4 linked regions of the Saccharomyces cerevisiae S288C genome follow. Changing the gene in region 3 together with the main gene of any one other region gives a genetic interaction. Each region holds a gene or a part of one and is shown on either strand. Other genes may lie near its edges.

Region 1 (7,736 bases), on a different chromosome or scaffold from region 3:
AAGATTGGTTATTGTTACCGACCCAAGATTAGACGCTCAGGCCATTAAGGAAGCTTCTTACGTTAACATTCCAGTCATTGCTTTGACTGATTTGGACTCCCCATCTGAATTTGTTGATGTCGCCATCCCATGTAACAACAGAGGTAAGCACTCCATCGGTTTAATCTGGTACTTGTTGGCTAGAGAAGTTTTGAGACTAAGAGGTGCTTTGGTCGACAGAACTCAACCATGGTCCATCATGCCAGATTTGTACTTCTACAGAAACCCAGAAGAAGTTGAGCAAGTTGCTGAAGAAGCTGCTGCCGCTGAAGAAGGTGAAGAAGAAGAAGTTAAGGAAGAAGTCACTGAAGGTCAAGCTGAAGCTACTGAATGGGCTGAAGAAAATGCAGACAACGTTGAATGGTAATCATTTGAAAACCTTGCAATGTGTGTGAATATTGTAAGGAATTGAGAAAGAGAGATAAAAAAAGAGACAGAAGTATCACTTCCTTTTCTAATTTTTCTTTTTCATTTTTTTTTTAAATTCATCTATCGTTTATCTTTATCTCATATATATTTGCTTCTCTCTGAAGCGTCATCATCTATCTGTATTTTTAATGCAATCATAGTATAAAAATTTTTAACCAAATTCAAAAATTATAATATTTTAAAAGTTTATGCTTTTGTCCTTTTATATTCAAGTCATTTGGCCATTATTACGCTTTTTTTTTTATTAGGTAAGTGGTTTCAATAATTAAATTCTTTAGCGGGAAGGCTGACTATCTATAGTATTGAAGATAAGTTAAATTAATGTTTAGTTCTGATATTTCATTTTTATTATTAATTAAATTTGCACTATTCGCCATGACGGGTTCACCCGAGTATTTATTTTGCTTTCGTTATACATATATATATATATATATTCTTCCAGGAGAAATACCTGCCTTCTCTCTTACCCCTTGCTCAATCTAAATCAATCCGTGACCTTAAATCTTCTAGCAGAATGACTAAGTCACAATCGATTTTAGAAATTTGAATAACCAGCTCAGAGATATTACTGACAAAAAACTTGTAATGGCACTGTTTTAGCAAGTTTAAGATAAATGTATCCATTAAGAAAGCATTGATTTTATTCGGACCATAATAGGTAGTCACTATTAGAATATCTAAAAGTTCTAGACCAATACCATCTAATTTGTGCTTATTCAATGCGTTGGTCATAAAATTTCTTATTACAGGCTTGATGAAATCCATTATCACATTTAATTTCAACTTGTCCTTTAAATGGTAGTATAAGTTAGGAAAGTCCTGATAGAACTTCCCCTCAGTAACCGTGTAAGAATTCTTGTTGTCCTTATTGTCATCGAAACGACTATTCAACCAGGTAACGTTTTTCGTCAAATTGATGAAAATAGACCGGGATAGAGTTTCCTGCTCTTCGTTGTTACAACATTTCCTTATTGCTAGATACAATGAGTTGTTCGCATACTGACTGAAAAATCCGGCTTCGTCTAGTTCGCTATAGTGATATAAACATCTCTTGTATATTGGAAGACGAAAATCGTTCGGTATCCCAAACCAATATAAGTTATGCTTACTTATCACCAACAGCAGGTCCGTCTCATCGCCAGATGTATGACAACTTCTCAAATTGCTCCAAAACTTTTCCAATTTTAGTTCTCTTCGAAATAAGTTTCTATTTTGAAACTTTAAATTTAAGATGTTCCTCTTTGTTTCCGATTTAATGAGGTTTTGTATGGATGGATCAGTATGAGTGCACAAGGTTTCATCGTTATTATTGGCAATTAATGATAACGATTCTTTTTCACTATTGATTTTCCTTTTATTTTCCTGAATCAAAGAATCTACACTCAAATTTTTTTGTGGTCTAATGACTAATGAAGATGATCCTGATGAGTTCCTGTTGTTGTTTGGAGTAAACAAACCATCAGAAAACACAGAAGACGCAGAAGAAGATGAAGAAGAGTACATCGTTGATCTGTGATTCGGCGAAGGGGCCACAGGACTCCCCTGAGAGTTTGCTCGAGGAATGGCAAAGTTGTCTATTATGGGGACAGCATAACTAATGAGATTAGTATCTTTATCTATTGTTGTGTCCAGAATTGTTGTCCAATCTGTGGTCCCGGAATGTAGGGCCTCTTCTTTCAAATCGTTTCTTGTTATTCTATGCCTGCTATGGAATAGCCGCTGACTGGGTGGTACGTACTCGTGCATGATATTATTAACCATGAGTTGTAGCTGTTTTGTTATATCCAAAGAATTTGGCTAACGTATCCTTGTACGCGTGATTTATTTATATATACGTGCAGCACAATATATATATATATATATATGTATGCGTGCGCTTGGTTATGGCTCAGTAAAGCGAAAGTAACGGAATAAGCGAGGGAAGGGGGATCTAGCGATGAGGGAATGGCAGTAACAGACTGTTCCCTTACAATACACTCTTGCTAAATTACATCAAGGATAATATACTATTTTAAAACAAAAACCAGCCATTTCCCTAAGGACGCGAAACTTTTGTGACGCGTTTCAAATAAAAAAGAATACTGCAAAACGCAGCACAATAATTAGATAAAACTAGTGGCATATGTCACTAATTAACTATATAGTCACTAATACTGTATATATAGCCGACACAGGCTACACAAAACACAAACGCAAAGGAATTAGGAATGTAGGTAGGTACACCGAGGCTAACTGACACTTCTGGGTCATGGACAAGCTTGTTTTTAGCACATCGTAAGGAATGTAACCACGCTTGAAAATAACAACGATACATATCAAGGTAGTTAGAGAGGCATTCCAGCCATAGATACGCAACCACTTTTTCAATCTGCTATTTGTATTAACTTGTAATTCGCTTGAATTCCAGAATTTATTGACGAAATAGACGAAAAGGGGTAGTTGCAGAACTAGCTCAAGGACTACAAACCAGTATAGCCATTCTGGTTTCTCTGATAGCAGGAAATCGTGTTGCTTTGCGATGTGATCACTAACAACCTTTTGCGCAATCCCTAGTTGCCATTTAGCGGGAATAACCACTGATGAGTCGATGAATATGGTGATGGGAATGTGAACGATGAAGTACCACAAGTAGAATTGTTGCTCACGATGTCCTAGCTTCATTATCTCCGGTCGCTTTTCTCTATATGTTTTCACGTGAGTGGCTCGTTTCTCGTACTTATTTGCTGCGGTTGTTCCTTTTATACCTACTAATTCGTATCCTGTACAAAAGCCGATAATTCTTTACTATGTTTTCAAAGGTTTTTTTTTTTTAAACGATATGCAAATTATTAATTCTTTTGAATATTTCTATGTAATCTAAACCACTTTACAATATACTATATGGAATACGTGGCGAAGAAAATTCCATTATCTCACCTCCGCTTCTTTCTCATCTCTTTCATTTTCTTGTAATGTGCCTTCCTACCGCTCGTAGATTTCTCCTGAATTTCGTTGTATTTACGCTTGAAATACTTATTAGAAGCTTCATCACCCATGAGTGTTTCCAAAATAGTCGACTTTCTTTCCTTCCTGTTCATACGACTACTATAAAACTCACTCTTGTCTTCAATTATGGTACCAATAGCAAACCTCTCTGGCACCTCCCAACGTTGCTTCTTATAATGTCTCTTTGGATCAAGAGCAGCTCTATGTTTAATCAGCAATAAATCTCGTTGAACTTCACGACGCATGTTATCATCTGGCTTTGGTAAGGTAAACCAGTCATTATCGTTTTTGTCGCTCTTGTTGGGTTTTCTTTTATCTTCTGTCTCCACACTAGGCAAGACGTTCTTCTTCTTCTTCTTGTTTGCTAAAGCATCAAATCCGGTTTCTAACTTAGGAAGCTTCTTAAGATTAGTTTCGATCTCTTGAAATTTACTTTCAATTTCTACTTCATCATCATTATTGCCTATCTGCAAAACATCCTCTTGTTGAAGAGAAACTTGTTCCTTCGCTGAATTTTTTACTTCTAGACTGGCACTAGCATCTCTTAGTGCTCCAAATAAGTCTTCCACACTTTGATCCATGTTTAACAGCTCCTTTCTCACGTCCTCTTTAATTGGAAAACTTGACGTCTCATCGCATTTTCTATTTCTTTTCTATCTTCTGTTTTAATATGCTGAAAAATTTTTAGGCCGGCACTAACCACGAATTATGATAAAAGAGAAGGATGTTTAGAGAAAAGGTTTTCGTGTGAAAGGGGGAATTGCGTTGTTAACTGACATAGCTGTCTTCAATGGAATCATAACAATGAAGTTCGAAGACCTCTTGGCAACCAATAAACAGGTGCAGTTTGCTCATGCAGCTACTCAACATTACAAAAGTGTCAAAACTCCAGATTTCTTGGAGAAAGACCCACATCACAAAAAATTTCATAACGCAGATGGCTTGAATCAACAAGGTTCTTCGACCCCATCTACAGCTACCGATGCAAATGCCGCCTCAACTGCTTCCACTCACACAAACACCACGACATTCAAAAGACACATTGTTGCCGTGGATGACATATCGAAAATGAACTATGAAATGATAAAGAATTCTCCAGGGAATGTAATAACGAACGCTAACCAAGATGAGATAGATATAAGCACCCTCAAGACAAGGTTGTACAAGGACAATCTTTACGCTATGAATGACAACTTTTTACAAGCTGTCAATGACCAAATTGTAACATTAAATGCAGCGGAGCAGGACCAAGAAACTGAGGACCCTGACTTATCAGATGATGAAAAAATTGATATACTGACCAAAATCCAAGAGAACTTGCTTGAAGAGTACCAAAAACTTTCACAGAAAGAAAGAAAGTGGTTTATATTGAAAGAACTACTGTTGGATGCAAATGTAGAACTCGATTTGTTCAGTAATCGTGGCAGGAAGGCAAGCCATCCAATCGCATTCGGAGCAGTAGCCATACCAACGAACGTCAATGCGAATTCACTAGCATTTAACAGAACCAAGAGAAGAAAAATTAATAAGAACGGCCTTTTGGAAAACATTCTTTAAGCCAAGATTAACATAAGACAAGTTTGCAAAATCCCCAACTTCACTTCCATATGCATATTCATTTAGGTATATATCGTATATTTGAGAAAAATTCATATATGAAACGTTATTAAAACATGAAAAATAGAATGTGTTATCGGGCTTAACTATATTCTGCCATTCAATGCGTGTTTCTTGACCATCTCTCGCACTACCTCTGACGGTACATAGAATGGGTTATGCTTCTTTGTCTTTTTCGTGTGCTCATATTGTCTTTGGTTCTCGAACTCAACCTCCTGGGTTAAATTTATATTAAAGAACAAGAAATCCTCTATGCTATCATTATTATCTTGAGATTCCATCTCAAATAGTTCAGAAAATCCGGTGTTCCCGAGGTCATCGTATTGCAATTTTTGTTTGTCTACCTCATTACTCAAATTGCTATTGGAGGTGCTTTTGATAGCATCACTACATTTATTATGAAGCATATCCATTAACTCCGTCCTGAGTTGTTCCGACGTGTGTCAACAAAAGGATTTACTAAGAATGTTGTATTTTGAGTTTTAAAAGGACGTGCATATGCACATACATATATATATACATATATGCGTATTTATCATCACTCCGTGCTGTTTAGAAGCTGCACATATTATGCATCTATCGCGATAGTATTGTGAGTTGGAGATAAAGATTTAATCATTTGTGCAACAACCGCTTTCTACTGTAGGCATAGAATTTCGCGCATCCCACCCCTTATTAACAATCACATTTTTTTTTTTTAATATTAATGACTCCGGTGGTCGTGATTGTAATCTTGATAACAATCGCGATCATGATCACGTTCTTTAGCCTCATTATCGAACAGTACTGGAGGTGAATAGGCACACCGTTTATCTAAAAGTTCCATGATCGTGGATTGGTCCCTCAAGATGGAATCATACGTATCTACACCACCGTATCTACTAGTGGTAAATCTCAAAATATCCCCAGTGTTGCCACGGTTCAAAACATCAATGTGGTCCAGTAATAGCTCATACGGATTCGTTCGTGGACGAGGCAGTGCTCCTCTATGAATATTGAACCGATGTTTAATTTTCCACATCTGAGATTCTAATTCAGAATAGTTTCGACGTCTTGCGTCCAATTCTGATTGCGTCCTTGGTTTAACTTCGTAATATAATTGTCTATGTAAGTCTTGGTATTCTTTGGCGAACATAAAGTGATTTGACCTTAATTGCAACTCCAAGCTGCTTGTAGTATATGGTCTTTTCATATCATTTGATTTATCCTTACTCGACCTTTTAATAGAAAACCTCCTGATGAAGTGTGGCACAGCAACCACTCCAAATTTTTCTAGAGGCTTTGTGGGCTTTGTTGAGCTTCTTTTGTCAATTCCAAGGCAAGAAAAGTCGTCTTCATCGGCCAAATATTCATCTTCAAATGTATGTATCGTATCATCAGGCAAGTGTTTATCATCGTAGCCTGTATCTGCTTTAGTTGGAGATTTTACTCGTTTTTGACCACCAGATGTATTTGCGTCGCAATTGCTAATGTATTCTGCACCTAAATACAACTTTTCTAAGTCCGCTGGTAAAGCTGGATCATTGACACCCAGTGGACTTGTCATCGTGAATCGTTGTGTTAAACTAATGAAAGAACCTTCCTTTACATTTTTGTCCACTCTGTTTTTGCCTTTATCTTGATCCTCGTTATCACCATCGGTAAAATCTTGGCCGCTATTAATTCCTGAAGCAACGTTAATACCACCACCAATCCTGCTGTCCAACATCGACAAGGCATGCTCACACCTTCCACCATTTATTGATAGCCCACTTAGTGTCAGTAACCTCGTATAGAATCCATATAGGAAATTTAAATTTGAACACGAAACACCATACTTTTTGGCCAAAATGATGGGCTGATGCAAAAGAATTTGAGCAGGATATTCAAATCGGTGGTAGAAACAATAAGGCTCAAACGGTAAGGATAAATATTCCGGATGTTCGTTTGCCGTAGAGTTGATAAGTTGCAGTTTTTTACCTTTGCAATATTCTACGATTTTCCCAAAATTAATCTCTTCTTCACCTTGTGATTTTACTAGCAAAAACCTTGCAATTTTGCTTCCACATTGTGCAAAGCAAATTCCAAGTAACTCTTTCACCAGATCTTTAAAAATAATTTCTGTGGATTTGTTTTCTAACATTTTCTCATAATCAAATTGTTCATAGATGATAGAAAGGATGTTAAGTGAGATTTTAGGAATAAGCAATTCCCACATTTTCAATGCCATTTGTTTTGGGTCCAAAATTAATTTAGATTTCATCCATTTCGCAACGGTCAATCCAAGAAGGAACCTGCGAACATTTGAACCCTTAATCCCTTGCAATTCTAACGAAGCTGCTTTCGTGTTTTCCAGAATGGTTGGACTTGCTTCAAAATTAGCATCACAATAAGTTAATCCCAAAGTTATTACACATTGATCGTCGTTGACCAATGCATATGATCCAAGCGATAACTGTCTGCATTCAACCTCACACGAAATGGAAATAACACACTTGCACTTCCCTCCAAAATAACTTATGGCTATGGGCTCCAGTTCGCAACCAAAATCAGTGCTAATAAGCACAGTCGTATTGTCGTTCGTGTAATCTGACAACAATCGACAAGTTGTTTCGAAAGACTGTAAGGAAATTGCAGACACTAACACAATGTCAATTGAATACGTATTTGCACCGTTATGTTTTAAT
Region 2 (6,793 bases), on a different chromosome or scaffold from region 3:
TATCCCGACGCGAAACAGAAACAGAAATAAAGAAAATGAAAGCTACTCTGATTTACGTTACCGCCATTGAAGATGGAGGATGAAGCACAATAAGAATAAGAAAAAAGAAAATCAGCAAGAATGACGCGAAAATATATTATCAGTGTTAAAAAGCTATTGTCAAAGTTTGTTTCCACCTATAAAGGATTCGGACGAAGAAATTCATGTTGTTGTTGTTATAGGATATCATCATATATATTTTCGATCACTCGCCAAGAGAATGTATAATAAGGAAAAAGATACCACGTTCTTCTGAACATGTTCAATATCCTTTCTCCTACTTTGCTCAGTACTTGAGCCCCATGCGTTTACATGATTTCAAAAGATATGGAGCTGAAGCCTTTTGTCTTGGCCGAGGATATGGCACCTTTTATATGACCGTATGGAAGACGTAGAGTGGATGAAAATTTTGTGAAAAAAAAAAGCTTATAGGAACAAAAACATCCTTACATCTTCGGGTATTTCTTCTAGGGTTGAAGTATAATAATTAACTATACTATTGTTCGGAGACAGTTCTGATGCCTAGTAAAACGCTTGCAGCTCTAAAAAAATTTGTCTTATTTTTTTCTTCTTCAATGAGCTGTTACCATTGCTGTAAGAGATGCTCGAAAGGTAGTACCTTCAGTGAATTATCTGACGTACATCACGTGAACTGTTTTGCGTAGTAAATTGTTCAACGATAATATATCGTTGTTAGTGATCAAAAAGTAACTATGCAAACTGCAAATGTCAAAAAGCCACAGTTTCTAAAAGAAAAGCAATGAATGAAGAAGGTTTGGGGTTGTAAATGTTAATGCAGCGACGTCTGTTTTTTTGTTATGACAGGAAGTCAGGAGGTAGTCACAGTCTCGTATTAAGCAAAAGTGGTCTGTTTAGGTGGCATAATAGCCTTGTTGCAGCACTACTTGCTACCGAGGCGCAGCCTTACAACTAAAATGTCCAGACATGATCTTAAGCGGAAGGGAGGGGTTTTTGCTTCCGTTTTTTTGACATTAAAAGTTTTCTTAATGCCGCGCGTTTGAAAGGAAACTGATCTGAAAGTGATTTATGATGCCAAAAAAAAAAAAAAATCTTTTGAAGTACAATGTATGTATGCATGAGTTTATAAAAAATGATGTAAAGTGCGGAATAGTAGTACTGCTAATGAGAAAAACACGGGTATACCGTCAATTATTGTCCCTTTTTCAAATGTGTTCTATAGTGTTGCAAGCAATTATCATGTCGACTGAATCGCTGCGTGCATCCCTTATACGGACAACAATGATTTTTTTCGCCCGTATGAATTCTATTATGCCTTGCTAAATGACCCGATGTAGTGAATCCTCTTGCGCAAATTTTGCAAATGTATTTGCGCCTTTGTTCAAGGTCTTCCTCATCTGATAACGTATTTCTTGGATCTGTTCTTTGCTTCCGCGTTTTCAGAGAGTATCTACTATTTGCCATCTTATTATATGCATCATTAGAAACTATTCCGTTCTCAGGCTGTTGTATTATTGATGAATTACAAGTTAGTTGTGATAGCGAGCTTTTTTCGGATGAATCTGAATTATATTGTACCGATGAATTGTCAAAAGAGACGCTTCTTGTTTGTAAATTAGGCGTTATTAAGTATTTTGGCTCCCACTTTTCAGAGCCATTTTCTGATTTGGTTTGGTATCGGAAATCAAAAGCAGTCTTATTTAATTTGTGTTTTAGTTCATTCTCTACCACATGAGAATTAGTTAGAACTGGTAGTAGCGTCTGATATTTTCTTTCCGGGCTTATTTCAACGTTTTCTTCATCTTGCATTCCATCAAATGCGGAGATTCCCGGCAGTGCGGGCATAGTAGAAACATTGAGGTTACTATAGTTATATGGGTAAAACATTGCCTGAAAGTTTGCGAAGGGTAGTAATATGCTGGTCGAGAGGAACAATCCAAGAAAGGTGAATGGTAGAAAAAGGCGCCGTAATGGTAGGAATTACAGTACAATAATACTTTGCAGAATCGTATACGATATGATTTTTACTTTCAAAAGCTGCAGAATTCCCTTATAGCATCAAAAAACTGTAAACGAGGTGGAGTAATATAATTTCTTTTAGTTAAGAGATGGGAACCAAATTTTTTTTAATTTGGGTTTGGAAAGTTCTCTTCCTTATATATGAATAACGGAAAAGGAGCCTGCAGCCAGACTGTAGAAAGATGACACTGCCAAGAGAATAATTAAAAGAAAAAACACCCCAAACACCCTGACCGGCGGCGAAGCCCCTCTGCGCGCTCAACGCGTTTCGTTTCACGCTTAAGGGTCCTCAAGAGGCCATAGTCTTTTACCGATAAGAAAAATCTAGACCCAATGAATTTTTCCCTTCTTTTCCGGTGCGGCCTTTTCACTGCTAAACAGTAAAAAGCATTTCTTGGCTTTCCCTGAGGGTGTTGACCGCAACCAAGCCAATACTTCATTTTGCTTTTTCCTCTTTTAGAAAACAGAGTTTTCCCTGTCTCAAACGTTTCAAAGACAAATATGCGGAAAATCAACTTATAAGTAGAAAAATACTAGCGATTTTTCTAGTTAGAATATTTAGGGGAACTATGCGAAGACAAACGGTGAAGTCAAAAGAAACACACTGCCTCGATTAGAAAGGCTTATCTGCCACAGTTTAATTTTTTTTTAATTTTATTTCTTTTTTTTTTATTTAACTAGAATCTGGCTAAAAATAAGCAACGGTCCGTGTAGATTACTGTTTCGAACGAGGAACAACTGAAGGAAAAGTTTTTTATTTTCCGCGAAGTTCGTATATTTTAGTTTTCTTTTACTCCAAGGGTTCGTGACGTCGAATTCCTATCAGCTTTTTTTTGCGCTTGGCGTTCTAGGTCCCTGTGCCCGTCTGAAACTATTCGTACATAGCATTACTAGAGTACATAATATCGTCTACCATACATACGACGGGTAGCCAGATTTTGTGCCGGATTGTCGGGGAAAAGACGGCAAATGAGCTCATACGTAATGGTGCGATTTTGATTCTTAGCTTTCTATTTCTGGAGAAAAGTACTCCAAGGTGGGGAAGGGGGGAGGCTGGGACTAGTTGTTATATGATGTAGCCTAAATGTAACGAGGCGTGGCTCTTTCATCTTATCTCAATGAATAAGTGTAAATTGCCTCGCCTGGTTTAATCTTTTCTCCACATGCAGTAATAGGTATAAAAGGAGTTGAAATTAAAAATAATAATAAATAATGATATAAAAATTATAAGTTTCTCCTTTCGGAACTAAAAAATAATATTAATAATAATATATAAATATTATATCTTTTTTATAATATAACATAGATACGAGTTTTTATGTTCCTTTGGCAATAGCTTTTCGTGACTTGTTTTAAATACAAGGCATATAGGCGCAGCTTCACCAAGATATTCTGGCTTAAACCAGCACTATGTATATTTTGGTGTTTGATACCGATATCGGCAGCTCGAAGCGTTTTTATGAACTGTAAAAATATGTCCTACATAGTTGTTTGGTAATTTTTTGGTTTTTTAAGATTGTTTTATGAATAGGTGTTTTACCAGAAGGCTATCGCCAGGTAACTCTTTTAACTAAATCGAAAAGATTTATTTGACGTGTCATATTGTAAAAACTAAATGGAAGACAGAAACTAACTTTGTCGACACCTATTTTAAACAAGTATCAAACGCGGGCTATAATTTTTATGAGAGCAATCAATGCAATGGAGTCTATTTCCGGTTAAATGGCACGATTGTGCGTAAAAACACGAGAAAGTGGAAGCATCTTTTTCTTAATGACGGATAATTACCCGAAACAGTGCAACTGCAAGTGCATACTCTTGAAGGACTTACATATTGAGAGGGAACACATTACTACCTTTCAAGAACACTCGCATTTACGGCGTACATATGGTTCCGCGGTAGACCCTAGGTTGAATTGAAAACCATGTTTTGAAGGAAAGCAAAGGCAGAATGAGAACATGGAGATGTAAATATTTTCCCAGTTAGGCATGACCCAAAATCGCAATCCAGATGCAATTTATTATGACACGTAGACCTTTCCGTATCTAACGTAATAAACGATATCTATTTTCGAGGCGCTCGACATCTCGTATCTGGGACAGAAAGTGAGGTAGATTATTCAAGAATACCTATTAAGAAAGGTAGAAGGTATTGCACCGATTCCTAGTATCAATTCTTTTCAAAACCACTTATTTTGCAAAACATGCGTCTAACCTGCCATTTCAGCAACGTAAATAATAATTACTTCCATATATATTCTTCTCCCCCAGTAGCAATTTTGACATGACAAATTTCAGCGATAGTTGCTTCGGCATTCGAAAATCGTAGAAGTATGTCTTAATGTAGAAGGTTGAGAACAACCGGATCTTGCGGTCATTTTTCTTTTCGAGGAAAGTGCAAGTCTGCCACTTTCCAGAAGGCATAGCCTTGCCCTTTTGTTGATATTTCTCCCCACCGTAATTGTTGCATTCGCGATCTTTTCAACAATACATTTTATCATCAAGCCCGCAAATCCTCTGGAGTTTGTCCTCTCGTTCACTGTTGGGAAAAACAATACGCCTAATTCGTGATTAAGATTCTTCAAACCATTTCCTGCGGAGTTTTTACTGTGTGTTGAACGGTTCACAGCGTAAAAAAAAGTTACTATAGGCACGGTATTTTAATTTCAATTGTTTAGAAAGTGCCTTCACACCATTAGCCCCTGGGATTACCGTCATAGGCACTTTCTGCTGAGCTCCTGCGAGATTTCTGCGCTGAAAGAGTAAAAGAAATCTTTCACAGCGGCTCCGCGGGCCCTTCTACTTTTAAACGAGTCGCAGGAACAGAAGCCAAATTTCAAAGAACGCTACGCTTTCGCCTTTTCTGGTTCTCCCACCAATAACGCTCCAGCTTGAACAAAGCATAAGACTGCAACCAAAGCGCTGACGGACGATCCGAAGATAAAGCTTGCTTTGCCCATTGTTCTCGTTTCGAAAGGCTATATAAGGACACGGATTTTCCTTTTTTTTTCCACCTATTGTCTTTCTTTGTTAAGCTTTTATTCTCCGGGTTTTCTTTTTTTGAGCATATCAAAAGCTTTCTTTTCGCAAATCAAACATAGCAAACCGAACTCTTCGAACACAATTAAATACACATAAAGATGCCTGCCCCTCAAGATCCAAGGAATCTTCCAATTAGACAACAAATGGAAGCTCTTATCCGTCGCAAACAAGCTGAAATCACGCAAGGTTTGGAATCCATCGATACTGTTAAGTTCCACGCTGATACTTGGACCCGTGGTAACGATGGTGGTGGTGGTACCTCTATGGTTATCCAAGACGGTACAACTTTCGAAAAAGGTGGTGTTAATGTCTCCGTTGTTTATGGTCAATTGAGCCCAGCGGCCGTTTCAGCCATGAAAGCTGATCATAAGAATCTGCGTCTACCAGAAGATCCAAAGACTGGTTTGCCAGTTACCGACGGTGTCAAGTTCTTCGCTTGTGGTTTAAGTATGGTCATTCATCCCGTTAACCCACACGCTCCAACCACGCACTTAAACTACCGTTACTTCGAAACTTGGAACCAAGATGGGACCCCACAAACTTGGTGGTTTGGTGGTGGTGCTGATTTGACACCTTCTTACTTATACGAAGAAGACGGTCAATTATTCCACCAACTGCACAAGGATGCCTTGGACAAGCACGACACTGCTTTGTACCCACGTTTCAAGAAATGGTGTGATGAGTACTTCTACATTACCCACCGTAAGGAAACACGTGGTATTGGTGGTATATTCTTTGACGATTATGATGAACGTGACCCACAAGAAATATTGAAGATGGTTGAAGACTGTTTCGATGCTTTCTTGCCATCCTACTTGACTATCGTCAAGAGAAGAAAAGATATGCCATATACAAAGGAAGAACAACAATGGCAGGCCATTAGACGTGGTAGATACGTTGAATTCAACTTAATCTACGATAGAGGTACCCAATTCGGTTTGAGAACCCCAGGCTCTAGAGTTGAGTCAATTTTGATGAGTTTGCCTGAACATGCTTCATGGTTATACAACCACCACCCTGCTCCTGGTTCCAGAGAAGCTAAATTACTAGAAGTTACCACCAAACCAAGAGAGTGGGTTAAATAATTCAAGGTTCTTTAGCAGACCGATTTTATGATCTCAATGACAATGATGATTTAATTATTTCGACCACTTATTTATACATTTTTTTATCTATTTATTATACCTCCTTTACATAATTCTTCAAATTCAATTGATACAGGATCTCTATTCTTAAAAATATTAATTATTGCGTCCTATTTATGATGCAAGTTCACAGTACGTGCAGGATCAAAAATTATATCAGTATCTATTGCTCTAAAAATATGGCAGCAGCCTTCATTCTCAATATGCGATCATGCCTTCTAATCAAATTTTAAGATGTTTTTATTACTCTTTTTATTCTTAGAAAATTCATCTTATATTCAAGGACTTCTTAATTTTCCTTCCATCTATGACCACAGTTTACACACTTATAAAAGGTAGTCATCGGCTCATCAGCTGACCTAATTTGTAGTTGGAAAAAGTAAGCACTCTCACCACCACAAGTATCATAATTGGGACATTGGGTTTTGGTTTGATCCACATTGTCCCAACCACCACCAAGAACATCATCAACTTCCTTTCTTGGAAGTTTCTTCCTATCATAGATTTCTATACCCTCTATAGGAAACTCATATGGACATGAACGGCATGCTAATGTATATACACCACTA
Region 3 (10,455 bases):
GAAAGTGTTTCTACCATTGGTTGGCTGTTTTCTTTGTTTCTTTTTGTTTGCTCTGCCTCATGTATCATTAGTGGTACTTACTTTGATAGAAATGGATTTAGGACAATTATGATTGTGGGCACGGTTTTTCATGTAGCCGGTCTGTTCGCTACCGCCAACTCTACTAAATATTGGCACTTCATACTGTCCTTTGCCATTGTCTGCGGGTTCGGTAATGGTATTGTACTGAGTCCCCTAGTAAGTGTTCCCGCCCACTATTTTTTTAAGAGACGTGGTACTGCATTGGCAATGGCCACTATTGGTGGTAGTGTGGGTGGCGTCGTTTTCCCAATTATGTTGCGTAGTTTCTTCTCTATGAAGTCAGACACTGATCCAACTTATGGATTTGTTTGGGGCATTAGAACTTTAGGATTTTTAGATTTGGCTTTGCTAACTCTGTCAATCATTTTAGTCAAAGAGAGGTTACCACATGTTATCGAAAATTCCAAAGATGGTGAGTCACGTTGGAGATACATACTCAGAGTTTATATTCTGCAATGTTTTGATGCGAAGGCTTTCCTGGATATGAAATATCTTTTTTGTGTCCTGGGAACGGTATTTAGTGAGTTATCCATTAATTCAGCTCTTACTTATTATGGATCATACGCCACCAGCCATGGAATTTCTGCTAATGACGCCTACACCTTGATTATGATTATAAATGTCTGCGGCATACCCGGGAGATGGGTTCCTGGCTATTTGAGCGATAAGTTCGGTAGGTTTAACGTCGCAATTGCAACTCTACTCACTCTATTTATCGTCATGTTTGTTGGTTGGTTACCATTTGGTACCAATTTGACAAATATGTACGTTATTAGTGCCCTATATGGATTTTGTTCTGGAAGCGTTTTCTCCTTACTTCCTGTTTGCTGTGGCCAGATATCTAAAACGGAAGAGTTCGGTAAACGTTACTCTACAATGTACTTCGTTGTCGGTTTCGGTACTTTAGTCGGCATTCCGATAACAGGTGCCATTATCTCTATCAAGACAACGGCCGATTACCAACACTATATTATTTTTTGCGGTTTGGCAACTTTTGTAAGCGCTGTTTGCTACATAATTTCGAGAGCATACTGTGTTGGCTTCAAGTGGGTCAGATTTTAAAAAGTAAGACAGTGCCCTTTATAGATCTTCAAAAAAGTAATGCAATAATATTTTCTTTTAGGAAATGTGTAGATAGACTATTTAATTAAAATTTCCTTATGTTTTTTTTTTTTTTTTTATTTTTCCGAATTAAAGTCACTATTTTTGTACAACTTCAACTTCAGCCATTCAGAAATCTTGCAATCTTGCATTAACGTAGAGGCGTATGAATTCTCGTAATAATTAATTAGTTTTCCTGAATTGATTAAGTCAAAGTGCCCGTCAGTCTTCTCTTTCAGCATCTCAACACGTAAATATATCAGAGGAAGCGTGATGTTATTGATAAGATTTAAGGTATCTTTTGTTAACATATGAGGGGAACACATAATGCATACTGTTTTGTTGCGTTGACTATGTGATACTAGTGAGGTGAATGTTCCTACTAACTCACGGAATTCTCTAGGAGATAATTTTGATTTAGTGAAAGCCTTACATTGGACTAGTACTTTCAATGGTTCAAAAGTATGGTCGATTATCCTATACTTTAAAGGTTTCAATACGAAGCCATTTTGCGAGTTCGTTCTTTTTATGTTACTAGCCATTTCCAAATTGGGCATTAACGATGAAATTTTCCAATAAATATCATCTACTGGCCAGCTTCCCTTTATGTCTACGCCACCATCATGGGCGCCACCGGTTTTTCTCAACTTTGTCATTCGTAGTTTCTCAGATAACTCCCTCATCACCGTATATTCATAAAGATTTCCTTGAAACACCGTAGAATGGGCGACAGCAGCATTTTGTTTCACATATGCTTGAATTGCAGGATTATTGAGCCATCTTCGTCCCAAATAGTTTTTTATCATGTTTTATCATGTTTTACCGTTCTTTACCGTGTTTTATATAGGAAGAAGCTTTAGAAATTTGCTGCAGTATTTCGCTTCCTGGTCGTTAATTTCTATGTATCGATCAACCATGTTGTTTTGCTTTTCAGTTGGCCTCGATAAATAATTTGAAAAAAAAAAAAAAAAAAAAAAAACTAGCAAACCAATGAAGCGGCTTGGCTTACAGGTACATTTTACCTTAGCGCTAAATGATATTGTAAATGTGACTTGCATCTTCTGAAGGAGCACTGTAATGAGTACTGAAAAACTGGAAGCTTCGGAGGAACCACAGGCTCCCTTGGCCAATACATCTGAGACTAACTCAATAAAGGGAGATACAGAAAATATTGTAACCGTGTTTGACCTGGCAAATGAAATAGAAAAATCACTAAAGGATGTTCAGAGGCAAATGAAGGAAAATGATGATGAGTTTTCACGCAGTATACAAGCAATTGAAGACAAGCTTAACAAAATGAGTCGGTGAGAGCAGGTGAGTAGTAACATGGAAACTTCTAATGCTTTTATTCATAAAAAAGAAAACGCGTGCTATCGCGTAACTAGGTTGCAATTAACTACAGATCGTGCCAAATACGTGCTTTTTTATATGGTTTAGAAATATTAATCAACTGAAACTTAATAATATATTCGCATGTTTTTGGAGTCTCTGGGATAGCACTTCACCTATCCTTGGAAACTTGAAATGGAGAAGTTTTAACTAAATGACTTTTTTGGCAATTGCTCTCTTATAATTCAGTACACTGTTGTTAATGTAAGTTTGTAGATAAATACAATATGACAAGTATCAAAGCAGGCTTTAGTTTTCAGCAGTTCAATTATCTTAGAATGGATATGAATTAGTTAAAGCGGCTCGACCCAGTTAGACTTAATTTGTCCTCTTCATTCACCATTTTTGCAGCGATATCACATTTCATTGAAGGGAAAAAGGTGACTGAAATATGATTACCTGTCATTTATCATTATCAAACTTGAAGATAGTGGTCAAGAAGTGGCTACGGTTCATTATATAATGCGGTCTATAAGGCTCGTTAGTTTAATTGTATTCAATGAAAAAGTAATATAAAAAATTATATCTCTCACGTCACTTATTTTAATGCACAATACATGATTCATGCTTCTTGATCAATTTTGGTTCTTTTATCAACATGATCGTTTGTATCTTTTTGATTTGTCACCATCGTCGTCGGGAGATTTGGAACCGTTGAAGCTCTAGTGCTTTCATTTTGGGATAAAGGAGTATCCTCTCTAGTCGCTGAAGTTCTACTCCTTTTCTTCTTATTTGCGTCAGGTTGCTCATACTCTCTTACAATTAAAGTTAATAGCGTATGGACTCTTTTTGATAGCTCATGCACCGTTCTTGTCTTTATAAACCAATCAAAAGTGAACAAATCACTCATCATGATTTCTTGCTTTAATTTTTCATAGAGCTTGTCAGCACGAAGTCCGTACTTGTTAACAGCTAATAATAAAAATTTATCTTCTAAGGTATTGTAAGTTCTTCTAGCATTATTAGGTGGATACTGTATTATCAGCTCATGTAATGGATGTTTACACTGTTCGATTTTCTGCCTCAATAGAGTTTCCTGGAATTTCAGTTTTTCATTTTTTTTTTCACCAAGTTCTACATTATGTAAATACTTCTCCCACCCATTGATTTCCTTTAGTCTTTCCCAGAATATTTTTGCATACACTTCAACCTCTTCTGGTGTTTTGGAATCAATAGATTTCTTAATGTTTTCCATATCATCTCTACCGTATTTGGCGCAGGCGTTGATAAACGCCATAAAGTCCCTCTTATTCCAGTTAGTAAAGGCTTTTGATATCAATTCTTGCTTTCGTAATTCATCTTCTTGGGTAAAATCCGGTGCTGAATTAATCTTCTCTTGCTCCTCCTCAATCCTTCTTTTAAGTTCCTCATGGCCTTTATGACCTTCTGTATTAGCGGCATTTTTGTATTCTCCTTCTTCTTCTTCAGCATCGCTTCCTTCATTACGTATATCTCCCGTAATATCATAAGAAGTAACCTTATAGTTGACCTTTTTCTTGAAGTAAAGCTGTTCCTTTTCTTGTAAGGCATCCAACTCCTTGGGGAAGAACTGGAAATCTTGACCGTGTATAACCTTTGGAGCGCGGGGTGCTTTTGGCTGCGGAGTTTGCTTGCTTGCTGATTTAGAGCCACCACCAATAATTTCCTTATAATAATCGTCAACTGAATAAGTGGTTTGCTCTCTTCTTCTTTCTCTTCGGGAAGGATTAATCCATTCAACTACTTTGTCGTTGGATTTTTTTTGAAAGCTTTTACCATTCCATTCGTAAGCAGATTGGTTCTCGATCCCATTGAACTTTTGTAAGTCGTCAAGTCCTAAACTTTGGTATTTGGCATTTAGTTCTTGTGTCTTCTGTTCCCCCTTTTTCAAAATATCATCGATATCAGCATCAACAGTGACTTTACTTGCTTTCTTTTCAAACATATTTTTAGCGCCAAATTGAATCATATCCAACAGATCATCCTTTGAGTTACCAAGAGATGCAGTTTTCTTGCCCGTGCCCTGTTGGATAACCAACTGGTCTAGTCTCAGCTTTTGTGCGGCACGCTCAATGACTTTCTCTTCAATAGCATTTTCTGTGACAAATCTATAAACATGAACTTGTTTCTTTTGACCAATTCTATGCGCTCTATCCATTGCTTGTAGATCAGCTTGAGGGTTCCAATCAGAATCAAAAAGAATAACAGTGTCGGCTGTGACAAGGTTAATACCTAAACCACCGGCACGTGTTGTTAGCAAAAAAACGAACTTTTCAGAATTAGGTTTATTATACTCATCGATAGCTTCTATACGTTCTTCATGGCTAGTAGAACCGTCGATTCTGCAATATTCAAAATCTCTAAAATAGCAATAATCTTCTAAGATATCCAATAGTCTCGACATTTGACTGAAAATCAATACTCTAGATCCCTTTTCCTTCAGTCTTTTCAGTAACTTATCTAATATAATCATTTTCCCGGAATTGAAAATCAAATGTTCATCGGTAGTGTATGGAGGTCCAGGTTCTGCGCCTTCAAAAAGATATGGATGATTACAGCATTTCCTTAATTGCATAACAATATTCAGTAACCTCGTTTTGCCTTCTCTTTTTCCAACAGCACCGTTAACAGCGTCTATATCCTTCTCTAATAATGATTTATACCATTGTATTTGCATGTCTGTCATCCCCACGTAAACATTCGTTTCGATTTTAGGTAGCAAAGATTTTTCGACATCCGCTTTGACTCTTCTCAGTAAAAAGGGGTTTAGTACTGAGTGTAGCTGTTGGATTACAATTTCTTGATCTTGTTCCGAATTGTTTTGTTCGAACCATTCATCAAAAAGTTCAGAATCTCCAAATATATCAGGTAATAAGAAATTTAGCAGGGCCCATAATTCGTGTAGATTGTTTTGTAGAGGCGTGCCCGTAATCAATAATCTATTCTTAGAGTAAAATAATCTAATTATTTGAGATAACGCGCTTTGTTCATTTTTGATCCTGTGAGCCTCATCAATAACAATATATTGCCAAGCTAATCTTTTCAAAGCATTCTTTTCTCTAATGACCATTTCATAAGATGTAATCAATACATCAAATCTAGCTTCTAATATTATATTCCGTACTATATCAGCTCTTGTGTCTTTATCACCATGTAACACAAGGACATTGACGTTTGGAGTCCATTTAAGAAACTCTCGTCTCCAATTATCTAGTGTTGACTTCGGTACTATTATTAGAAAGGGTCCCTCGATTTGTTTGACGTATCTCAAATAACCTAGGAATGAAATTGTTTGTAAGGTTTTACCCAGCCCCATTTCATCGGCCAAGATACCAGATAGTTTGTTTTCGTGCAACGATATTAACCAGTTTAAGCCTTGAACTTGATAGTCTCTTAATTTTCCTGACTTGACGAAGGAGGGAGATTCTGAGACGAATATGTCTTCCTGATATGTATCTACAATCTCTTCTTCCTCATCAGCCATTAATTCAGCATCTTCCTCCTTTTCTGTTTTTCTATGGTGACGTGATGACGAACTGACGGTGCTGTGTGATTTGGAAAGTTTGTTTGCATCAGAATCTAACTGTTTTAAGAGTTTTTGAATATTTTTATCATGTTTTGCCTTAATTCCAATAAAATGACGGAAAAGGTCTGTGACGCCTAATAAATATTTGAATCTTTTGTACGTATCGGACTTGTCCTTTTGCTTGGCGTATTTTGGATCTACATCAAGTACGAATTTTTTCTTTCTTTGAGCCCAATATTCTGGTGGTCTATCTTCTACTGTATATATTTCTTTATCTGATAGCTCTTCACTTTGTCCGATATTATCATCATCACTACTGCCATTTGACTTTGAGTCGAGAGTATCGACTAAAACTTCTGAAGGTGACTCGCTTTTGCTATTCTTGGTATCACTTCGTTGCTCCTCTTGCTGGGTCGTCATGATCTGATTGTAAGTTTTCCTTTTGTTACGACTTAAACCAACAAGACGGGTATTATTGGAAAGTAAATAAAACAAACCACAAAGAAAGAAAACCGTTTGCACAAACTCCTTGAGTTATGCAAATATACTTATCAAAATTTAACTGAAGCTGAAAATTTTTGAGTCTGCTTTATTTGATTTTTTTTTTAGGATGGCAGGATGAAATTAGAGCCATTGTACGTACGTTACGTTTTTTTGTTCATTTAATTACAAGAAGCGCCCGTTAATTATGACAACTGCGAGTAGATACTAAGCAACGACGAGTAGCGCAAAATACCATGAACTGAATTGAATCGTATTTAGATGTACGTATGTGTTACGTAATGTATAAATTTTGTTTTTAGAACAACACTCTTTCCTTGGCCAACTTAGTAACATTTATACTCTGCAATCTCGATTTATCGGTACTGTATGTTACTTTTAGTGAGATTGAACTTTTTGCCTGAGATTGTAATTGGTATTTTTCTATATTATCGAAGAATTTGTCAAAAAGAATAGCTGTGTCTAAGGGACCACCTTTTGCCTCTGGGTGAAATTGGGTAGAAAATATGGGTCTTTGAAGGTGTATCATGCCTTCGTTTGATTTGTCGTTTAAATTAACAAAATAAGGTTTCCATTGGTCCTTTGGTAGGGTCTCAGGATCAACTGCATAGCCATGATTTTGAGATGTAATGTGGCACTGGCCGGTAGTCAAATCCATGGCAGGGATGTTGTGAGCCCTATTACCATATTTCAATTTGTGAGTAGAGGCACCGGAGGCCAGAGCCAAGAGTTGATGGCCTAGACAAATCCCAAAAATAGGGATACAGTCATAAACAGGGTTATTTAGTAATTCCCTGACGTTGGAAATTGTAGCTTGGCATAGTTCTGGGTTGCCTGGTCCATTGGATAAGAAAATACCGTCGAATTCAGAAGCAACATCTTGAATTCTGTAATCATAGGGGAAAACAGTTACATTGGCACCTCTTTTGACTAGGCATCTGATAATGTTTTCTTTAACACCACAGTCAATAAGAGCCACATTTGCCTTAGCCTTCCCAGGTAAGGCAGAGACGTGGAAAGGCTTTTTTGTGGTGACTTGAGCAACCAAGTTAGTTTTCATGGGATTCACGTAGGGGACAGGGTCATGATCAGCCAACGTAATACGGCCCAAAGAAGAACCTTGTTCCCTCAAGTATTGCACTAGTTCACGGGTGTCTACGCCAGTAATAGCAGCAACACCTTCTCTCTGACACCATTGTGCCAGAGATTCAACAGCGGTCCAATGCGAATATTGATAAGCATATTCAGCGACAACGATGCCGACCACATGTATATGCGGAGATTCAAAATACTTCAGTAAATTGTATTCATCGCGGGCTTCGCCGGATGGGACACCGTAGTTACCAATCAAGGGTTGCGTGAAGACTAATATCTGACCACGGTAGGAAGGATCAGTCATGGACTCTGGGTAACCAACCAGAGAAGTAGTGAAAACTGTTTCACCAGCAACAGATTTGTTTGCACCAAAAGATATACCTTCAAAGGAAGGACCATTTTGGATACAGAAAGTAGCTTTTGTTGCAGCGGAGGACATTTGAAATATTTTTAGGAGTGGTTTGTGATAGAATTTCTGATTATTAAGCAATGAAATTAGTGGGAGCTAGTTTTCCAGATGTGGTCAGATATGTAGTCTTGGCAGGTGTATTGAGAGTTCGATAAGCTAAACATATAATGTTTTTTTTATTTCAAATCTGCAAAAAGGGTATGTAGAAGAGTCGATTACCTTGTATTCTTTGCAGTATTTAAACAATTAGATGTTCGAGTGTATCTATGTGTTATAGTTCTGAAGAAAAAAAAAAAAAAAAAAAAGAAAAAGAAACGACGAGTCAAGAAAAGAAAAGAAAAAGGAGGGGCATGAAAAAAGAAATTGACCGAATAATCTAATGAACGTTGGATAGTTAAGTGTCTTACGAGAGAGCCTTATATATCATGTCATCGCCTTTTTTTTCCGCGAGAGGTGATAAGTGAAATCGCAACTATTTACTCATCATGAGGTAATGCGATGCGATGATGAGTCAAACACCCTTCCACGGGAAGCGCCAGCCGGCGCCCTCGGTAAAGCCTGCACTTAACGGCCCCTCGCTGTTTCTTGTACTTAGCGTCACGCGCTATGGAAATATGCGGTGCACAGGTGTTTTTATAGGGGGGTGATGGATTACATCATACACGACGGCCGGGAACACAGCTGAAAATAACTGTGAATGCGGCAGTGGCACCCACTACGAGAAGCAGACACCACAGTCCACGCTTACGTAGAAGCTGCCGAGTAAATGGGTGCTCTATGCGGGTAAGACGGCGCCTACCGCCGAACACCGCAAGTATCATTGGCACGTGATCGGTATCACTAGAAGCATCTCCTTCGTCATTGCCAGCGTTTTTGTGTCTGTGGAGAAGTCTCTGTGTGACGCCAAACCAGGAATACACAATGTCCACTTGATACATGCCACACACAATGCAGTAGCATCCCAGTGTAAATGGCACGACCGTAACGACACGGATTGCGCGACTATACGCCAGGAAGATTAGAACATATCCGATCCAAAAGCCGATGCCTAGCCAGAGCAAACCAAAGCCAATACGACTGATTGACGTGTGATTGGAGAATGGCGAGCGAGAAATGTGCGTCTGGCCTCGAGAGCGATTGCTTTTTTCGTTGGTGACGCCCACTGAGTGGAATCTCCAATCAGATATTTCATCGTGGATGTTGTGTAGTGCGACGCGGCTTAGAAATTTTGGGAAACAATCCATTTCTAGGAATTGGTAAGTTAGGTTTTTTAGGTCGTCAAAAATCTCAATGTCGTACTTTCGCTCGATTTGTACGCTTTCTATTATGCGGTTCCGCGTTTCCATGGGGATGTTGCTCAGGTACCGTTCGCTTTGTTCGGGCGATACTAAATAGGTGTTGCAGAGACCAACTGCGCTGTGCAGCAGTTGTTTTGTAGTTATCTGCGGTTTTCCGTCTTGTTGGGAGCGCCTTTTCATTATCTCGTCGACGATCAGCGCTACGTCTTCGTTTCTCAGGGCTTCTTGACCGATACCCGATTGGTGCTTCCAATCACCCAGCAATTCGTTTAATTTTGGTGAAAAGGGCACGTCTGGGCCGCTATTTTCTAAGAGTTTATCAGGTGCTTCCGGGTCTAGGTGCCCTTCTTCTATCAGTGCGTTCAGCAAGTCAAATGTAGCCGTAGATGTACTTCCATTCTGCTGTTGTTCTTGTGGAAAGTTGATTAATGATTTTCTTACCAACTCTATGTAGTTTTTGCAAAGTCGTGTATGTGTCATAAGGTCAACCCAAAAGTCCAGATAGTTGATGGCATATGGGAATTGTGAAAGAAATGTATAAAAAGTCCAGAGATCAACTGGCTGCGATGTCCTCTGTATTAACACTTCATACAATGTTGGCAATCGTTCACGCTGGATCATCTCGAAATTTTGCATACTGCTCACTTTGCTGAGCTCTTCCTTCATGATGAATGGGACGCTCTTGAACTTTCTTTTTGGCAGAAATTGTTAGAGGTCGTTGTGCACAATGAATTTCCCGTATGTGTTTTATTGATATTTTCGTTTTGCCCGCATTCTCGAAACACGAATATTTTTCCTCGAATGGCGGCGGGCGGCGAAGTTACATAACCAGCATTGCTCTGTATTAATGTATGCTGGGTTTTCTTTAAAGTGACCCAAGAGTTTGACACAACGTTGAAGCGTATCGCCAATTTTTTTTGGATTATATATACGTATTAATGTCTTTTTATCGTATTTATGCATCGTAGCATCCAATGGTGCAAGTAGTGAAGAAATTGAGCAAATTCTCCTGCACCAAGTTGAGAACAGTTTCTGGATATCTTGACGAGATTTCATTCGAAACTTTGGTCAGACTC
Region 4 (7,353 bases), on a different chromosome or scaffold from region 3:
TTTTTTCCCCTTAGACGACATTTTTATAGTTTTCGAATAATATGATATAATGATGTATAGCAGGATCCTGAAAAGTATTATTCTTTCGACATATACATTTGGTCCGACTTACAACCAAAAAATTTTTGTTCAAAAAATATAGGAAATTTTAGAAAACGAATGTTGAATGCGTTATAAATAATACAGAATGTACGTGTATATAAAAATATAATAAAAAAAATGCAAGAGTTATGGCTTTGTAATAAAATTGATATCAAAAAATTACCCAAATAAACTTTTAAATGTGAACACAAAAATTAAATCACCGATGTTGAATCCCAGAATAAAAAACAAAAAGTTCAGAAAATATCATTACTTTGCTTCCTTTTTAAAACCTTAATTCTTGTATTGTTCACGGAAGTACTTGGCGGCTTCGACCATATGAGTCAAAGACAATCTAGTTTCTTCCCAGCCTCTAGTCTTCAAACCACAATCTGGGTTAACCCAGAACTTTTCAGCTGGGTAGCTCTTCAAGATGGTTGAAATCTTGGCGATAAATTCATCCTTTGATGGAATTCTTGGAGAATGAATATCGAATAAACCTAGACCAATGTGGTTTGGATAGTTTTTGAATTCAGCAATGTAGTTAGCATCGTCCTTCTTAGAGAATTCGATGGAAACAACATCAGCATCCAAAGCCTTGATATGGTTTGGATCCAAGTCAGAGTAACAGAAATGAGAGTGTATTTGAGTCTTGTTAGCAACACCAGAAGTAGCAACTCTGAAAGCTTCGGCAGCCCAGGTGTAGTAAGCAGATCTCTCAGTACCTTCTCTCAATGGTAAACCTTCTCTTAAAGCTGGTTCATCAACTTGGATAACCTTGATACCGGCAGCTTCCAAATCATTGACTTCATCTCTCAAAGCCAAAGCTAATTGCATAGCTTGAGTTTTTTGGTCGACATCGTCTCTTGGGAAAGACCATCTCAAACAGGTAATTGGACCAGTCAACATACCCTTTACTGGCTTAGAAGTGATGGATTGAGCGTAAACAGATTCCTTGACGGACATAGCCTTTGGTCTGGACAAGTCACCAACAATAATTGGTGGTCTGACATATCTGGAACCGTAAGATTGAACCCAACCGTTAACAGTGAAAGCATAACCGTTGATTTGTTCACCGAAGTATTGAACCATATCGTTTCTTTCTGGTTCACCGTGGACTAAGACATCCAAACCAATTTCTTCTTGGAATCTGATGACCTTTTCAATTTCAGAATTGATGAATTTTTCATATTCTTCAGCAGAGATGGTGCCCTTGTTGAATTTGTTTCTGTTAATTCTGATGTCCTTGGTTTGAGGGAAGGAACCAATAGTTGTTGTTGGGAACAATGGCAAGTTGAAGACTTTTTGTTGTTCAGGCAATCTTTGTTCAAATGGAGCTGCTCTAGTAGACATTTTTTCGTCGATAGAGGCAACTCTGGCCTTAACGGCAGCATCGTGGATAAACTTGGATTTACCTCTGGATTCAACAGATTTAGCGTTAGCTTCTAGGGCAGCAGCAACGTCTTGACCGGAAACGTTCTTGGTGATCACAACAACTTCATCCAATTTTTGAGTGGCGAAAGAGAAAAAGCCCTTGATTTCAGCGTCCAACTTGGTTTCGTTGTTCAAATCAACTGGTGTGTGCAATAGAGAAGAAGAAGTGGCAACAACGACTCTGTCAGCACCCAACTTTTCAATAGCCTTGTTAACGATAGCGGAAGACTTCTTGAAATCATTCTTCCAAATGTTTCTACCATCAACAATACCAACGGACAAGGTTTGTTTGTTACCAATGGCGGCAACGACTTCATCAAATTGTTCTGGAGCTCTAACAAAGTCAACGTGTAAGGCAGCAACTGGCAAGCCCTTGATGGCGTCTAAGTTAGGGACAACGGTACCGAAGTAAGTAGCCAAAGTAATCTTTGGTAGATTGCTTTGTTCACCGAAGTAAGTGTAAGCCTTCTTAATGGCGGCTTGGGCGTTGGCAGGCAAGTCCAAAACTAAGACAGGTTCGTCAATTTGAACTTCAGTGGCACCAGCAGAAGCCAATTTAGATAGGATTTCAGTGTATAGAGGCAACAATTGTTCCAATAGGGACAATGGTTCCAAATCTAGAGAATCCTTGTCAGCCTTACCCAAGAATAAGTAAGAAACTGGACCCAACAAGACAGGTCTAGTATGAATACCTAACTCCTTGGCTTCCAAAAATTCGTCAACTGGCTTTTGGCCGTTCAACTTAAATTGAGTGGTCTTGGAGAAAGTTGGTCTAACGTAATGGTAGTTAGAGTCGAACCATTTAACCATTTCCAAAGCAGTGACGTCGACAGCCTTTTCAGTTTCAGTGGCCTTTCTTTGTAAACCTCTACCCATAGCAAACAAAGTGTCGATTGGAGATAGATCGTACTTAGTGTAACGGTCTGGAATGACATTGAACAACAAAGACAAATCCAAAACTTGGTCGTAAAAGGAGAAGTCATTGGATGGGATGATATCAACACCAGCCTCCTTTTGCAACTTCCAGTTTTGAGTTCTCAAATCCTTACCGACCTTGAATAATTCATCGACAGTGATTTTACCGTTCCAGTAACCTTCAGTGGCCTTCTTTAATTCTCTGTTTGGACCGATTCTTGGGAACCCTAAGACAGCAGATTGAACCATTTTTGATATGTACTTTGAAATTATATTGGTATTTTGTTTCTTAGAGTGTTGTCAATGCTCTTAGATGCTTGCTTTTTTATGATAAAGGAAGAGTTTAACAAAAATATTGAATACGTAAAAGAGAAACTAATGCTAGTAAAGATGGAAATATCTATCACTTATATAGAATTTTTTTTTCTTTCCTTTTTTTCTTTCGCAGTTGGGAAAACTAGCTAGCTTCCCTTAAATTAGTGCATCTATCGCATTTGTTCCATATTCACATTCACAGTTCTCAATTGAGCAGAACGAGCTATGACTACCACAGTTTTGCGACCGGGAGATAGAGCGAAAGAGCTGCCATGACTGCGATGACTCTAGCGAAAAATATTGGCCTTTTGCACGTTCGCGACTAAACGAGTTCGATAGTAGTCCCGTTTCTGGTTTTTTCCCTTTACCGGCCCACATTTTTTCACCTGACTCCGGTCCTGACGTACGACTCTGTTTGTAAGTCACGTGAAATATTTCCTGTGGCTTTTACTAGTAATGTGCACGTGATGTGGCGTGATGGTCCTTTACCCGGAGTGCGGGACCCTGGTTCATGAAAAATTGTGTGAAATCAACTGCATTTTTGGAAGCGAAAAAGATGATGAACCTGAGTTGAATGGCTGTGGGAAACCAATACTTGACTGATTATAAAACAAGAAAAAAATGCCTAGTAAAGATCCAGAGAGCGTTATAGACAAAGAAATACGGAAGATATCAGCAAGAAATGATGAGCTTATCAAACAGGATGGGACTCTAAAAAGGGAATACACTACATTATTGAGAAAAGTATCGAGCGTGATAACGGTACTGAACAGTATTGATGATGCAGATACTGGTTCTGCTGAAACGGAACTCCCACGCTTAATATCTCAAGCAACAGTAGAGAAAGTACCCGAATTGAAGTGGTACAATGATCAGATATCACTGATTACAGAAAAGTTGGAGGACGATGAAGATATTGAGGTTCCCGAGGAGCTAATGGATGCTTATACTCTGTACAAGGAAACCCCATTATTATATAATGATACGCACACACCATAACGGTTTTGTATGCTGTGGTGTAGGGAAGTGCCTGGGTCTATGGAATATTGTGACTATATACATTTATACATGCGGCCCTTTTTTGCTCTAACGTGTAAAATTAGCCGGCCTTTTGTCCCTTTTGTTGTCGTGCCTGATGACATTTTCAAGCGCTCTATTGTTAATAAATAGTCCGCAAAGAAACTTCCTAACATGTGGCTTAAACCGATACTTCGACATCATATTAAATACTTTGAAGAACATTTTCTCGTTTTCAAAAAGCCTTGGACCGTATTTATTGTTTATTTCTGTAATCTCCTTCACTGCGTGATTTGAAAGGATATGATTGCCTAGCTGACTTACTATATGTAGTACCTTGCTCTCGATGGAGTCATCGTCATTGCGGTATTGTGTAACATAGGGAGAAGAAAGGCCTTCGTTTGCGAAAAGACTACTATTTTCACCTGAAACAGTGATAGTTTGACTTGTGATATCGTTGTCGTATTTATTAGTAATGATTTTTTCATTTAATGGATTCTCTGCGGTATCTTTCTCTTTGAGTAGTTTGTCCAAATCAAATTCGATGGGTAAGCATTTTTCTATCAAGTCGCCATCGCTTTTATTAAAAACAATCATCTCATCAGAATACTCGCCAAATGCGGACCATTTGTGTTCGTTATACGATAGAAATCTATCGAGCCTATTTGGTAGTGCGATCCCGATAGGCTCATCTTGTACACTGACACAACAGTTCCATCCCATCTCGTCTAGAATTTCGCAACCCTCGCGGGTCATGCTGATTAATCCCAGAACATAAAATGCTGTAAACCTAACGCTGGTTACGCTGGCATTGTAGGCCACCTCGATAATATCTTCCACCAATGAGTAGTTATCTAGTAGACCTATCCCCAATTCTGTGGATCCGATAAACCCAACACACCATAATGCTGCTTTTAAGTCGAGAATTTCTTTGGCATTTTCTACTGTGGCCATATTGTTTCCGTTGACGTATTTTTTTATAACGTTCATGAAAGTAACCAAATCTCCTGTTTGGCTTAATAGTAATATTCCGTCTTCTGTTTTCGTTAGACTTTCATAAAAATGCAATGGCAGGCGACTCTTTTGTTGAAATGTGAGGGATTTTGCATTAATTGATTCATTTTTCTTCAGGAATTCCTCCACAATATGAACATACTCAATGTTTTTTTTAGATAACCACGAATCCCTTTCCTCCTTCACAAAATTGATTTCGTTCAACAACTGGAACCCGTATGGGCGGCTTAATAACTCGAAAAGTATTGGAGACCTAATGAATACCATTTGGTTTAAAAACATCCTAAATGAGGTGCCCAGCTCTTCAGAGCCATTGCCCGCGACAATACATTCATATAAAGCTTGGTCTGCTACGGCGACTACGCTGGGGCTCAGGTCGTATAGTTGCCTTGTTAACATTTCCATTTTGAATTGCTGCAGTTTCACTTTATTCGCTTTTAACTTAAGATCACTTTCTTTCGTGGATAACAGTTCTTTTAGTTTATCGCCTATATGCTTTGTAGCCTCAATCCTAACTTTCTCATTGGCCACTACAAGGGCCTTGCCGATAATGACGCGGCAATGTGATGAATATTTCAAATCTAATTCTGGTATTGTTAATAATAGAAACTCAAGCCCCAGTTTCGATTCAAATTGAAACATCTTATAGATTACGGTAAAAAAATTCCACCTCGTTAGGATATGAACCCCATTCTTTGACTGCGTCAATATTCCGATGAATTTGAAGTATCCAAATATTATTTTTTCTCGTAGTTTATTCTTGTTGAAGATGTTGCCTGATATATTTCCCTCCATTGCTCTAAACATTAAAGACGCCAGTTGCGGTATAATTTTTGTATCATCCATAAGGATTTTCATTCCTTCTGGAGTCGCCGTTAGTGTTTTGAAAAACTGGCATCCAACTTGTACATACTTTTGAGATAATTTTGCGCCTTTATTGACGTTGGAAAATCTCAATCTGAGTGGTCTGTAAAACACCAAAAGTCTTCTGATGAATTTGGTTGATTTAACTAATTCTTCTAGTTGCTTTTTATTTAGTAATGGTCCTTCAAGTAATTCGTTAATTATGTTCCAATTCCATCGCGTAAAATCCTTCGTTTGCAAAACTTTAGAGTCATAAACCATTCTTCTAAATCGGAAATCATCTACTTCGCGGAGAAGAGTATTCTCTTTAATATTTTTGGAAAATGATTTTATATTTTGAGCATAATCAATGCCCGACATGCCAATTGTATTCCTGTTTCTATTCATTTTATAAGCGATCTTCTTGAACTGGAATGTTTCATTGACGTAAGTGAAGTTCTCCTTGTAAATTGGTTTTGATACTGAAGTATACTTTTTATCGACTAAATTCATTCTTAAATTAAAATATTCGGTAAGAAGATATCTGCCTTTTGCTACCAAGTGATCATCTCTATCTTCTTCGTTCAAAAGTTCAAGGAGGTGGGGTACAAATTCCGAGTTCTCCAGAATTAGCACAATTAAGGCTAGCCGTTGATTCACAGACATACACTCTTTGTAGTACTGAGATGGGATTGGTTTGAAAGAATGAGAATGTCTGCCCCTTGGCTTGTATGGTAGTGGTTTGATTTTCAAAACATCAAGAAAGATGTCGATAAGATATTGGGCGCATATAGGAATTTGGAAGAATGACACCAGCTGTTTTAACGGTTTGAAATTGTTGTTAGAAAAAAGCATAAAGCCATTGTAGCTGTTCAAAGTTATTGAGATAAGTGTAGAAGCGTTTTGCATTTTTTCCACATTAACGTTTGACTTTGTATTTGTATCCGAAAAGACCGTGGTTAACACAGATACATTGAAATCTTCCAGAAAATGTTGCCTTGTCTTGTGTGTAGCCATTAATTGTAAAATAGTATCAAGTATTACTGATGCGAGTGAAAAAGAAGTATAATCTTGTAAAAATCCCTCGATCACTCTCATACCACGGCATTCTTTAACCATTTCAGGGGCGACAAAACAAAGTTCCAACAAAGTTTCTAATGCCATGTGCCTTAAGGAGTCTTCAGGTTTTTCAACACAGCTTATTATAGCCTGCATAATGCCTTGAGTAACACCGTTGTTGTATTCAATGAATCTTCGTACCATTTTTAAGGCTTGTTCCCTTTCTATTTGAAAAGAATTATCCTTCGCAAGGGAAATAATTATGAATGCATCCAGTCTTAGCTCTAACAGCTCATCAATGAAAATCGAGCTATTTATTAGGTAACGACATACCCTATAAGCAGATGCTGCTATAAGCTTGTTTCCATTGAGAAGCAGATTTTGAATTGATGACATGAATGAAGTTAAAACCAGATCTTTTCTTATCTCTGAATGTTCTTTCAATAAGGTGACCAGGCCATTTGCTTTTTGAGCAATGAAATCAGGGTTGACGTTCTTTTCTTGAAAACTTTGCATATAATCGCTTACAAGCCATGTTGCCGCTTCAGTTGTTGTGGATGTGAATATTTGATTTTCGTTTTCAAGATCACCAAGATCTTTTTCAGTATCACCGGTTAAGTTTACTTTATTAGATCCATCTAAATCTGGAATGGAAAGCGTAGAATGATTTTCGTT

What was found.
Region 1: mutations in ISW2 (region 3) and IES3 together harm fitness more than expected from each alone (negative genetic interaction), as found in Saccharomyces cerevisiae (4 studies listed by BioGRID, with this or other methods).
Region 2: mutations in ISW2 (region 3) and NRG1 together harm fitness more than expected from each alone (negative genetic interaction), as found in Saccharomyces cerevisiae (3 studies listed by BioGRID).
Region 4: mutations in ISW2 (region 3) and IES5 together harm fitness more than expected from each alone (negative genetic interaction), as found in Saccharomyces cerevisiae (5 studies listed by BioGRID, with this or other methods).

What each region holds. Positions count from the first base shown.
Region 1 is NC_001144.5:242,944-250,679, forward strand, and holds IES3 (Ies3p), read left to right. Parts: upstream 1-4,257; coding exon 4,258-5,010; downstream 5,011-7,736. Other genes in the region: 40S ribosomal protein uS2 RPS0B, read left to right, coding at 1-406; MLO50 (Mlo50p), read right to left, coding at 943-2,229; EMA19 (Ema19p), read right to left, coding at 2,644-3,129; FCF2 (Fcf2p), read right to left, coding at 3,381-4,034; NRS1 (Nrs1p), read right to left, coding at 5,157-5,483; OSW2 (Osw2p), read right to left, coding at 5,774-7,736. UniProt on the Saccharomyces cerevisiae protein: Probably involved in transcription regulation via its interaction with the INO80 complex, a chromatin-remodeling complex.
Region 2 is NC_001136.10:541,465-548,257, forward strand, and holds NRG1 (transcriptional regulator NRG1), read right to left. Parts: upstream 1,906-6,793; coding exon 1,210-1,905; downstream 1-1,209. Other genes in the region: HEM13 (coproporphyrinogen oxidase), read left to right, coding at 5,178-6,164; DNA-directed RNA polymerase III core subunit RPC11, read right to left, coding at 6,514-6,793. UniProt on the Saccharomyces cerevisiae protein: Transcriptional repressor involved in regulation of glucose repression. Binds to UAS-1 in the STA1 promoter.
Region 3 is NC_001147.6:880,555-891,009, reverse strand, and holds ISW2 (DNA translocase), read right to left. Parts: upstream 6,497-10,455; coding exon 3,134-6,496; downstream 1-3,133. Other genes in the region: MCH5 (riboflavin transporter), read left to right, coding at 1-1,143; RRG7 (Rrg7p), read right to left, coding at 1,260-1,988; BIL1 (Bil1p), read left to right, coding at 2,260-2,490; carbamoyl-phosphate synthase (glutamine-hydrolyzing) CPA1, read right to left, coding at 6,876-8,111; YOR302W (uncharacterized protein), read right to left, coding at 8,168-8,245; RAX1 (Rax1p), read right to left, coding at 8,738-10,045; BUD7 (exomer complex subunit), read right to left, coding at 10,335-10,455. UniProt on the Saccharomyces cerevisiae protein: Catalytic component of the ISW2 complex, which acts in remodeling the chromatin by catalyzing an ATP-dependent alteration in the structure of nucleosomal DNA.
Region 4 is NC_001137.3:339,489-346,841, forward strand, and holds IES5 (Ies5p), read left to right. Parts: upstream 1-3,366; coding exon 3,367-3,744; downstream 3,745-7,353. Other genes in the region: MET6 (5-methyltetrahydropteroyltriglutamate-homocysteine S-methyltransferase), read right to left, coding at 376-2,679; TORC2 complex subunit TSC11, read right to left, coding at 3,832-7,353.